3 linked regions of the Schizosaccharomyces pombe genome follow. The gene in region 1 interacts genetically with each later gene. Each region holds a gene or a part of one and is shown on either strand. Other genes may lie near its edges. The genes, in order: swi1, tel2 and wss2.

Region 1 (3,600 bases):
GCTTCACGATTGTATTTTGGTGATCATAACATTGAGGGTATGTTTGCCGTGTTGAGACCATTGCATGAAATGTTGGAACGTGGTCCGGAAACGCTTCGTGAAATTTCTTTCCAACAAGCCTTTGGACGTGACTTAGTCGAAGCAAGGGATTGTTGTATCCGTTTTGAGCAAACTGGTGATATATCAGACTTAAATCAGGCCTGGGACTTATATTACCAAGTTTTCAAGAAAATTCGTAAACAGCTACCTCAGTTGACAACATTAGATTTACAATACGTTTCTCCTAAACTCTTACATGTACATGATCTTGAGTTAGCTGTTCCGGGAACATACGTTAGCGGGAAACCTGTTATAAGAATTGTAAAGTTTTACCCTACATTCAACGTGATAACATCTAAGCAACGTCCGAGACGACTGAGTATTAAAGGCAGTGATGGAAAAGATTATCAATATGTTTTAAAGGGTCACGAGGACATCAGACAAGATGAACGTGTTATGCAGCTATTTGGGCTTTGTAACAATCTGTTACTAGCTGACCCGGAAACTTTTAAGCGCTTACTTTCAATCCAAAGGTATCCAGTGATTCCTTTATCACCGGATTCAGGCCTTTTAGGCTGGGTTTTGGATAGCGATACTTTGCATGTCTTAATTCGTGACTACAGAGAAAGCAGAAAGATTTTACTCAACATAGAACATAGGTTGATCATTCAGATGGCTCCAGATTACGATCGTCTCACTCTCCTTCAGAAAGTTGAAGTCTTTGAATATGCCCTACTTAGTACTACGGGGCAGGATTTATACCGCGTTTTATGGCTGAAGAGTCGTAGCTCAGAAGCTTGGCTTAATAGGCGAACTAACTATTCTCGTACTCTTGCGGTGATGTCAATGGTAGGGTACATCTTAGGTTTGGGCGATCGTCATCCTTCCAATTTGATGCTGGACAGGTATACAGGTAATATCATCCATATCGATTTTGGAGATTGTTTTGAAGTAGCAATGCATCGAGAAAAGTTTCCCGAGAAGATTCCTTTCCGCCTTACGCGAATGCTTGTTAACGCAATGGAAGTTAGTGGTATAGAGGGGACGTTCCGGATAACATGCGAACATGTTATGCGAGTTCTTCGTACTAATAAGGAGTCTGTGATGGCAGTTTTAGAAGCTTTCGTTTACGATCCTCTTATTAACTGGCGCCTTGCTCCTGCATATTCACCTTCTATCGATGAAAAGCAATCTAACGAACCTAATACACTTCTCGGTGAGACAATTGATGGTTTACACCGGAAACGCTTAAACGAAGAAGGAATTACACTTGAAGAACGTCAAAAACCCGAGATACTCAATCAAAGAGCTATAACCGTTCTTAATCGTGTGTCCAATAAACTTACTGGTCGGGATTTCAAACCCCAACAGCAATTGGATGTACCAAGTCAAGTAGAGAAGCTGATTTTACAAGCAACCTCTATAGAGAACCTATGCTTGTGCTATATTGGCTGGTGTAGTTTCTGGTAGGTGACAGTCCCAAACGTTCAAATTGCTTTTCTGCCGCATCATATATATATTCTATATTAAATAAAGTGTAAATAGTCTTTATGAATGAGTCCTGTAACAATTTATTACGTTGTTTTACAATTTTACAAAATAGAGGAAATGTTGAATTTGACGCAGAATTTTTAGAATTTTGTAGTAGAGAATGCATCTCTTTATATTGTTATTAAAGATTTGCTGCTTAATCATTCTGAAAATAATAAACTCTAAATTTCTACATCTGAAATTGTGAAAATTATTGAAACTAAATTCTAATTATGCATTGTACAAGTTAGGTAGCAAATTCGTTTTGTTGAGTCCATATTATCGAATTTTATAATATAATACTGAATGCCATTTTAATGCGATTTAAATTATAAAGTGTTTTACTTTACACACATTTTTTTAAAAATCCAAGTTATTTTGAAAAGTTAAATATTGTTTTAAAAATTTATTATTCATTGTTTACTGTCACCACCCCTCTTCACGTATCTACAATCAAATTTACTTATCTTAAAAGAATACGATTATTCATGAACATAATTAATATCGCTTAATTATTAAAATTTATTTAATTTCTTAAATTTGGTTTATTTATCGACGCATACCGACAATACAAAAAAAAGGAACTTGAGAGCTTTTGATTTAACAAATCAACTTGAATGGAATTAGATGAGGTGATTCAAGGCATTGTTTCTGCCATTGGAGGATTTGACTATTCAGACGATGAAAAAGTGTACGTTCTTGGTGATGAAGCTTTGGCTTGCCTAAAGGATCTGAAGCGCTATCTTCAAGTAGTCGATGAAAAGTACAAAGTTTGGCAAATTCGATCTTTGCTCTCGAGCTTACAGTTGGTAACTAATGATATATGTCCAATACTCTCTGACTGGGATAAAGACATTACTAATTACAGAAACTGGCGTATCGCTTTAGCTTGTGTTGAGCTTCTTGTACCATTAACATGGCCTTTGGAGACTGAGCATGAAACATTCAGAGAAAATGTTGATGTTCTCTATAATCTGCGTCAAGCTCAATCAAATTATAAAAATTCAATTTTATCTTACAAGAAGGGGAGCGTTTTATCCGCCATTTTAGCTGTTTTACTAAAGCCCTTAAGTACTCCCGCAGAATCCAGAACACTTAGAGACAAGGGAATAATCAGGATAGTGCTGTTACTATTTCGAAACATTCTTCAAATCGATGAATTAAAAACAAAAAATGAAACAATTATCTCGTTTGCGAAAGCTCATATATTAGATTTGATTGTCACACTGGTCTCGAATCTCGATGAATTTGAGCATTTTGATGTTTACATATTAGAAATAGTCTACAACTTGATCAGAGGTTGTAAGCCATCAGCCCTTTTCTCTGATGCCTCATTGACTAACTCTCAAACCGAACTTAATAGCTTACTCCTCAAAGAGTCGACCCAAAATCGCTATTTGAAACGAAATGCACATACGAGGCATAATAGATTTGGAACCATGCTTTCTGTTCAAACTGAAGACAGAAGATTTACTATTGCTAGCCAAAATATAAAAACCGACGGCCTTGATGAGCTTGACTCTCATAAGCGTTTTCGAAAACGAGGAACACGTCGAAAACATTTTGTATGTACTTAGTTAAACACGATGTTTGTTTAAATTTTTTTTTCCAATTCAACTATTCTATTCTAACAATATTAGGATGACATAAACAAATCGTTCTTTATCAATACCGAGGCAGGTACTGCATTAAGGAACTTTGCTGTCGAATTTTTGGAAGCTGGATTCAATCCATTATTTCAGTCTCTCTTAAAAGACTTGGAAAGAGAAGATCCTCGTGTGCTTCCAATTCATAAAATGCAATTATTATACGTTCAGTCATTTTTTTTGGAATTCATGAGATTTTCGTCTAAACCAAAAAAAACAGAAGAAATTTACTCTAATGATTATAGTTTTGGCTTAGCAGCCTCCGTTTTTGACCAACGAGCTTTGATTATGCACAACAGGTTAATGGTAGAATCCTTTGAAATGAAACAATGGAGCACCTTCCAAGCATCCATGCTTTCGATGACTCAATTACTTTTCACTCTTC
Region 2 (3,840 bases), on another chromosome or scaffold:
TACTAGAAGTATTTCCGGTTGAAACGGCATTTGTAGTAGAAGATTCGACGGGAACATGAAACACCTTTAATAAGTTTTCACAGGCAAGAATCTCTTCCGTAAAGGCAGGAATACTAGCCTCTTCTAACTTGCGTTGAGCAGCAATTCTTCTCTTCTCCTTCTCACGATTTTCACGCTCAAGACGAAACTGTTCTTGTCTTTTGGCACGTTGTTCACGTTCATAAGTACGGAATGCGCGCAATTGGGTATCGTACTCACGTTGTAAAGCTCTTCGTTGATTATATAGATCATCGAGTGCAGTCTTCTCATCATCTCTTTCTGCTATGAGCTTACGCTGATCTTTATAGTAACCGTCTTGTTGCTTACGAACCTCATCAAGCTCAGAACGGATTTCTACGAACTTGTCACTCAACTTCTTTGATTCTGAATCATTAAGTTGATCACGAAGCTCGTTAAGTTCATTTCTAATCGTATCAATACTAGTTTGAAGAGCGTTCAACTCAACGAAGCTCTTTCTAGTACGATTGCACTGAGAAATTTCACGCAGGTATTTCTTCTCATCAACAATCTTTAAAGTTCCTGAGTCAACGGCGGCTTGAAGTTGTTTAACATGTTTATCAAGCTCCACTTCTGACTTGAAAGGAACAGTTTTTTTCATGGCAGTCAACTCCTTAACCTAAAAGTATGTCAGTAAACATTTTGTTTCTTTACCAAGCTCATAAAGTTTTCCAACACAAAACTTTAGTGCTTACATATATTAATGCAAAACATACCTTCTTTTTCAAAAGTTCATCTTGAGCCTTGACTTTGTTGATGAGAGTTTGCTTAGAAGAACGGATAGCTGCTTGAGCATTGCGAATATTGTCTAATTCAGCGCGAAGTTCTGCATTCTTCTCCTGCAATGAACCACCACCGCGAATGGCACCAAGCTTCTCCTTATGCTCATTCTAGTTGATTAGTTAAGATGCGAAAACTATATAAGAAACAAGTGATTTTTTGAAGCTTTCATAGTTATGAAAAAAAAAAAAAGCTTAGCCTTCAATATTCAAGAATTTAAAACTACTTACGAAACGCTTTTTCGCCTCGTTGATCTTAGCATCAAGCTCCTCCAAAGCCTCCTTGTGAAGAGCTTCATTAGGACGAACGGGTTTATGAGATGACATTTTTATTAAGGATTTTGTTGTTGGTGGTGGATAGTGGTGTGTGTTGAGTTGTCGTTTAACGAGTATATAACAAGGCAGATAAACTCCGTTTGTTTTGCTTCCCTAGAGTTTTCGTTCGCAGTGCTGTGAAGGAGACTACCTGTTTCTGAAATTTTTATAAATAGCTTTTTGTTGACGGTTATTCAGACATCGTGTGAAGAGCAGTCTAAGGAAAAGATTACGATAATACATGTTATGATATTTTTTTTTTATTTATTTAAATAAACTGGTAGTTTTTTGCACTCGTCCACGTATTATGTTTAATATTTCAATTTAAAAATCCTGAATTGTAAATTTAGTGACCTTTATTTGCAATGTGTTGACTTGAACGAAACAAGAAAAATTAATGCATTTTTTCTCACGGATTAGCTTACCGATTAGCGGAGCATTAACATTTAATTTGGGAGGTACACAAAAACAGTTTTAAACTAAAAGTTACTTGCTTTTTAAAAGCAAATAGAAATATTGCAACTAGTCTTATAAAGCAACAGGATACTTCACTTATAGAAAGCGAATTTGAAAGCATAACTATCCATTCTTTTGTTACAACTATTGCATATAAGCACAAAATGTCTTTAAGTTAAATTATACATAATATCCTTTTTCTGTCACGTAAATTGTAAGTTCCTATTCAATTTCAGGCTGTGAAAAGTCCGTGAAAATAATACATCGAAGAGCTTTACAGGTTTCACAGAATATCCCGATGCTACCCATGTAATTGTTGCATACACCATTCTCAGGAAGTTTAAGAGCACAATTTAAAAAACTATATGAATTGAGTTCAAATTACCTTTATAGAATGAAAAACAATTAATAGAATTTAAAGTAATTTACATGGACAACAAATTAAAAATAACTATATACTTTGTAAAGAGTTTTGGTGTTGTTTTAGCCAAGCAGCCTATAATCCTGCATATTGCTGATTGCTGACCGGTGAATTAATCCACCGAAGGTTACTGTCTTCTCAACACCCCAAAATAATTCGGTTATTTTTCAACTCCAAGGATATGAAATCCTTTGCTAGCGAACTATCCAAACCTATTCAAAAGCCGCGTTTAAAAGAAATCCTTAAAGAACTGCAGCATATAGGTGTTCCTTCTCCTTGCAATCTAAGATTATATCATGAGTTAATTAGTGTGATAGTGCCCACATTCTGGAATGGGAAAATTAATTCAGAAATAGATTTTCTCCTTGCAAAATGTTTTTCTACTCTTTTGGGCTTAAAACTGCTATGTGTTCGACTAGATAATTTTGTTCAAGAGGCTAATTTGCAAAACATTCATCTTGTTACAGTTTATCTTGAGCTACTGGAAAAAGCATTTGAATGTATAGACCTTGACGATAACTGTAAATTGATATGGGAATCTACTGTATTATCTGATCATCAAAAGCAATCTTTGTGGACTGAATTTATTTTTTTCTTGGGAAACTTTAAAATTACTAATTCAATGTCTGCTGCAATGCTTACCTTCAAGGTTTACGATGATTCAAAACGTTTGAAGGCTTCATCAATGGCCGACTACATTGGCGTTTTATCTTCAAAATTGGCTTGCATTATATCTAAACCTGCTGTTAAAACCCCAGAAATATATTCAAAGCTATTCCATTATTTATTACACTCATCCAATTTAAAGGCATTCATTAACCCATTGATTCCATTAACACAAAAATTTTGTGTTCAGCTACAAAAATTATTTGCAGATTTGACGGTCTCTGATCAAATGTTGTTTCTCAATCAACTTCTTCTTGAACATAATACCAAATATCCCACCAATTTTTCATATTCCACCGCAAGAGATGATCGTATAACAGGTTCATTGGCTACATTATTAAGGCTGAACTTTTCATCCACTCACTTCCTTCGATTAATTGAATTTTATTGGGGCGTCCCTACAAATTTAATAATTAAAAGGGTAGAAGTAGTTTGTTCGAGTATATCTTATAAGGAATCTGATAAAAAGGAGCTAGAAAAAACAGTGGACTCTCTGTTTAATATATGGTCAAATGCGCAATTTTTGAGGAGCTATACGCTGCTAGCTCAAGAGAGCTTAACAATATATTTATTACTATTTATTCCGAAACTTGAAGCAAAATATTTGAATAATCTTTCCAAATCCCTAATGTTCTCCAATGCAATATCTTGCCGTTTAGATAGTCTAGATGATGATATTCGAATGCATGGAATGATAATGGCCGAAGTAATCTCTACATATTCGGGTGTCAGCTTAAGTAACCCGTTAGCCTTTGACGTTCCAATAATGAAGACTACGAAAGCAAAAGTTCTCAAATCGTTGAGCTCACTCAAGGATGAATTTTTGCCTATTGAAATTTTGAATGACGAAAGTGTTATCGCAGAGACTTCGATAGAAAAGGAAGAGACGAATGTAACTCACTTGGAGAAGCCAGTGATTTCTAAAAACGATGACTTAATAAGGGGAGATGACTTGGAGCCTTACGATTTTCCTGATATTGACAGTGAGGACACGGACGACGATCCAACTGTCTCTAGATCCAAGACGCATTCTCCTGTGTACGTACAAGATTTGTGCAAAATGTTAAAAGACACAGAAAGTTTTGAGAAACAACGTGTTGCACTGGAAAACGCTTCTAAGTTAATAAAACGAAAGTCTGCTTTTGG
Region 3 (3,344 bases), on another chromosome or scaffold:
CATTATTCTGTTTTTTTTTTACTCTACTTTAAGCTAACTTCATTATTTAGTGGTGTTCGTCCGTTTGGTGTTAGTCTCTTGGTTGCAGGAATGGATGAAAAAGGTCCTTCTCTCTATCAAGTTGATCCTTCGGGCACCTATTTTGCTTGGAAAGCCACAGCTATCGGCAAATCATCTACAGCTGCTAAAACATTTTTAGAAAAGCGTTACAATGATGAACTTGAGTTGGATGATGCCGTGCATACAGCTATTTTAGCTTTAAAAGAAACTTTTGAGGGTGAATTAACTGAAGATAACATCGAGATCGCAGTAGTCTCTACGAAACCTACGGATAGTGGAATCGTTGGCGTACCAGGCGGACATTTTTGTCGATTGTCCCAGTCGGAGATTCGTGATTATCTCGACCAAGTATAAAGTTGAAAGTGTTAGGTTTATTTTTTCTTTATATTTCCTATACAAAAAAAGCACTAGCAATGTTTTGTTGCAAAAGTTGCTTTTTAAGTCCATTTTCACTTTCTTATTCAGTAACAACTTACATGAAAAAGACACGAGTTCGTCCACCCTTTGTCCATGAGATTCCAAGGTATTAGTTGTTTTTTTAAACTTACGTATGGTATTACACAGCCTGAAATTAGAAAGACTCATACTAGTGATAGCTGCTATATTCTATGACATGAATTAGATTTACGATTCCCAAACAATACGGTTCCTTTATTCTGTATAGTACAAATCACTCCAAATGTTTAACAACAAGACAGCATTCATTAGAAGAAACTATAAACATAGACAATAAATAGGGGAATTTGAAAATATAAGTAGTAAAGAATCCATTACTCCTTTTGGACTTTACTACCTGATTGCTTCCGCCTCTCCGCAGCGGCCAGCAGTAAGTCTCGTCTGTGGTTCTTTTGATCTTCATCGTCATTATCCTGTTGAGGAGTATAACTAGCTCGGTCACTAACATAACTACCAGGTTTGCCAAGCAAATCTGCTGCATCTGCTTCCTTTGTTAGTTGACGAAACAGCTCCCAAAAGGAGGAGTCGTGTTCTCCATGAACATTATGCGTCAATTCGTGAATTAATGTACTTTTCACAGTTTTGTAATCTCGAAAACCATCGTAACGGTCTGTACGTAAACGTAATTCAATATGTGCACCTTGATTATGATTGAGTCCCAGAGTTTTAGAGTCATGTCGAGTATGTTCAGCAGGGTCCATTTCACTAAGTAACGGGACAGTCCAGCGATGAGAATCCATAATTTTTTTAATGCCTGTATCGTCTCGCAGCCTTTCTAAATATCTCAAGGCACGATCCTTGTGAGGATAATCTAAAACCACAAGTTCATTAAATGTGTATATACTTGCAGGCTTTGGTGTAGTATGAGGCTTCTTCGGTTTCAAGCTGTATGTATTCGTGCTATAATCAGGGACCTTCAATTGAGAAATGGCTTGATTGACAATGTCTTTATCTTGTCTAATTAGACACATAATCTTCGATTCGTTTTTGACTACATCTTGTAAATGTGAGTCATCTGAAAGATTCCCTTTGTAGAGCAGCTTAATCAAACTTGGAGACACATCTATTTCTTGGCCAAGTTTCTCTTTAGCATCCAGCACAGTATCATTCTCATTAAATGAAAGAGCAATTACATTTCCTCTGCAACTAAATTTCAACTCCATGTGAATTTGGTAATTAGCAAAATTTCTAAATCTGTTTGACCCAATTAAACAATTGAGCTGAATATAAAAAAAAAACAAAGATATTATCAGTAAAAACTGAAGAAAAGAGAGTAGTGTAATTTTTGCTTATTAATTGGTAGTGGTTAAGTCAATAGACAATAGTACTAATATATATATACATACATTACGATTTAGACTGTGTAAGGTAGATGTGGCCTGAATATAACCGAAATGAATAACTTGATGGTGGCCAATTTTGCTGGTCTGACTAAGAACAGCCAGCTTTTTGTTCTATGAAATTCCAGCAATGCTAGAGTCCATTGTAGTTTTCTGGAAGTGAGTTGTAGAAAAGCGCGACAAAGTCAAGAACTATAGTGGTGTTTTAGACTTAGCAATTTAATTTAAAAAAGGTACCAGCCATGTTTAGTAGGACCATAGTTTCAAACTTGAATGTGGATTAACGATTTTCAAAAGTATGACTTGAAAAGATAAATTGGAATTATTTAGAAAATTTCTGTTTCTTGTACGGTAGACTTTTTATAATGGATACGATGGATGAACGTAAGTAAGTCACATGAATTTTAGATTTTGAAGACAACTATAAGCAGCGATAAAAAGTGTACTCAAAGTTAATTCATACTTCAATTAAGCAGGTTTAAGATATTTGACGGTCATAATAAAATCACTAAATCCAAAGTAATAATAGTTTATGGATTTACACATGCCATGTTCAGCAAATTTGTTCATATTTGATTCAAACACATGAGATCCAGCAAGATTTCACGCTCTTCATTTTATGTCATCAGTTTCGATTAGTTTTAAACTGTTAAATAGAACTTTTCACGAATGCAATGAATATATACATGAATCGTTTAATAACATATAACAAAGATCAATACAAGGGGTTTAAAGAAAAAGTATGTTTTCAATTAAAAGAATCAGCACAAATTTTAGCATAATATACTATTGATTGAATGATTTCAAAAGAACGGATTTGGTATTCATGTCCGCTACAGTAGTCATCGATAAAAAAGAAAGGCAAAACTAGATAGGGGCCGGGAAGGTTCCGTTTTCCCTTTGTTCGTCCCAGCGTTCTACCCATTCTGTCGAAACATTGTTAGCATATTTGCAGTTTAACAAGCGAAACCGCTTAACCTTCCAAAAAAAAGCACTTACCCATTGGGCACAAAGATTGATAAGCGTGCCAAAACTGTTTACAGGGGACAAAGTCTTCACCCTTAGCCTTAATACAGCGGAAATAATCAATGTAACTTTGGAAGCAATCTATCGTAGCAATGTGTTAAAAAGAGTCCTCATTATAACAAAAATTGACAACATATAAACGTCTTTTCAATAAAAAACAACTTACGTTTTGTTTGATTAGTGTTTGGGAATCTATATAGTAAATAAGATATTGTAAGTAACTTGTTTAATGATAATATCACCAATGTCATATTACCTTGCATCAAACCCAACTATGTCAACGTTAGCATTTGCTTCCTATAATATAGAGCTCTTACCTGTACCAAAAGTAAACTGCTTAGGTGCTTCTTGATCTTCTTGTTCAGACATGTTGTTTTGCTGCTAAATTGCTTTTTCGGAGAGGCGATTGGTAGAGGATACGTTCGTAGAGCCGCTTGTGAGTAGAAAGGAATGGGTCTAATA

What was found.
Region 2: mutations in swi1 (region 1) and tel2 impair growth when combined (synthetic growth defect), as found in Schizosaccharomyces pombe (one study listed by BioGRID).
Region 3: mutations in swi1 (region 1) and wss2 impair growth when combined (synthetic growth defect), as found in Schizosaccharomyces pombe (one study listed by BioGRID).

Annotation. Positions count from the first base shown.
Region 1 is NC_003423.3:913,180-916,779, reverse strand, and holds the start of swi1 (replication fork protection complex subunit Swi1), read left to right. Parts: upstream 1-2,000; 5' UTR 2,001-2,186; coding exon 2,187-3,134; intron 3,135-3,150; exon of another isoform or gene 3,151-3,209; coding exon 3,210-3,600. Other genes in the region: TORC1 serine/threonine protein kinase Tor2, read left to right, coding at 1-1,509. UniProt on the Schizosaccharomyces pombe protein: Forms a fork protection complex (FPC) with swi3. FPC coordinates leading and lagging strand synthesis and moves with the replication fork. It is required for programmed fork-pausing which is necessary for mating-type switching.
Region 2 is NC_003424.3:4,732,653-4,736,492, forward strand, and holds the start of tel2 (TTT co-chaperone complex LRR repeat subunit Tel2), read left to right. Parts: upstream 1-2,168; 5' UTR 2,169-2,209; coding exon 2,210-3,840. Other genes in the region: SPOM_SPAC458.02C (mRNP complex protein), read right to left, coding at 1-676, 774-947, 1,068-1,163. UniProt on the Schizosaccharomyces pombe protein: Component of the TORC1 and TORC2 complexes required for the regulation of the cellular respons to changes in available nutrients. Required for normal entry into S phase. Regulates activation of the DNA replication checkpoint.
Region 3 is NC_003421.2:1,778,782-1,782,125, forward strand, and holds wss2 (ubiquitin/metalloprotease fusion protein), read right to left. Parts: upstream 1,821-3,344; 5' UTR 1,680-1,820; coding exon 831-1,679; 3' UTR 741-830; downstream 1-740. Other genes in the region: proteasome core particle subunit alpha 2 Pre8, read left to right, coding at 51-414; cox12 (cytochrome c oxidase subunit VIb), read right to left, coding at 2,724-2,782, 2,856-2,963, 3,049-3,074, 3,139-3,154, 3,200-3,251. UniProt on the Schizosaccharomyces pombe protein: Metalloendopeptidase that acts selectively on DNA-binding proteins. DNA is needed to bring the protease and substrates together to enable proteolysis.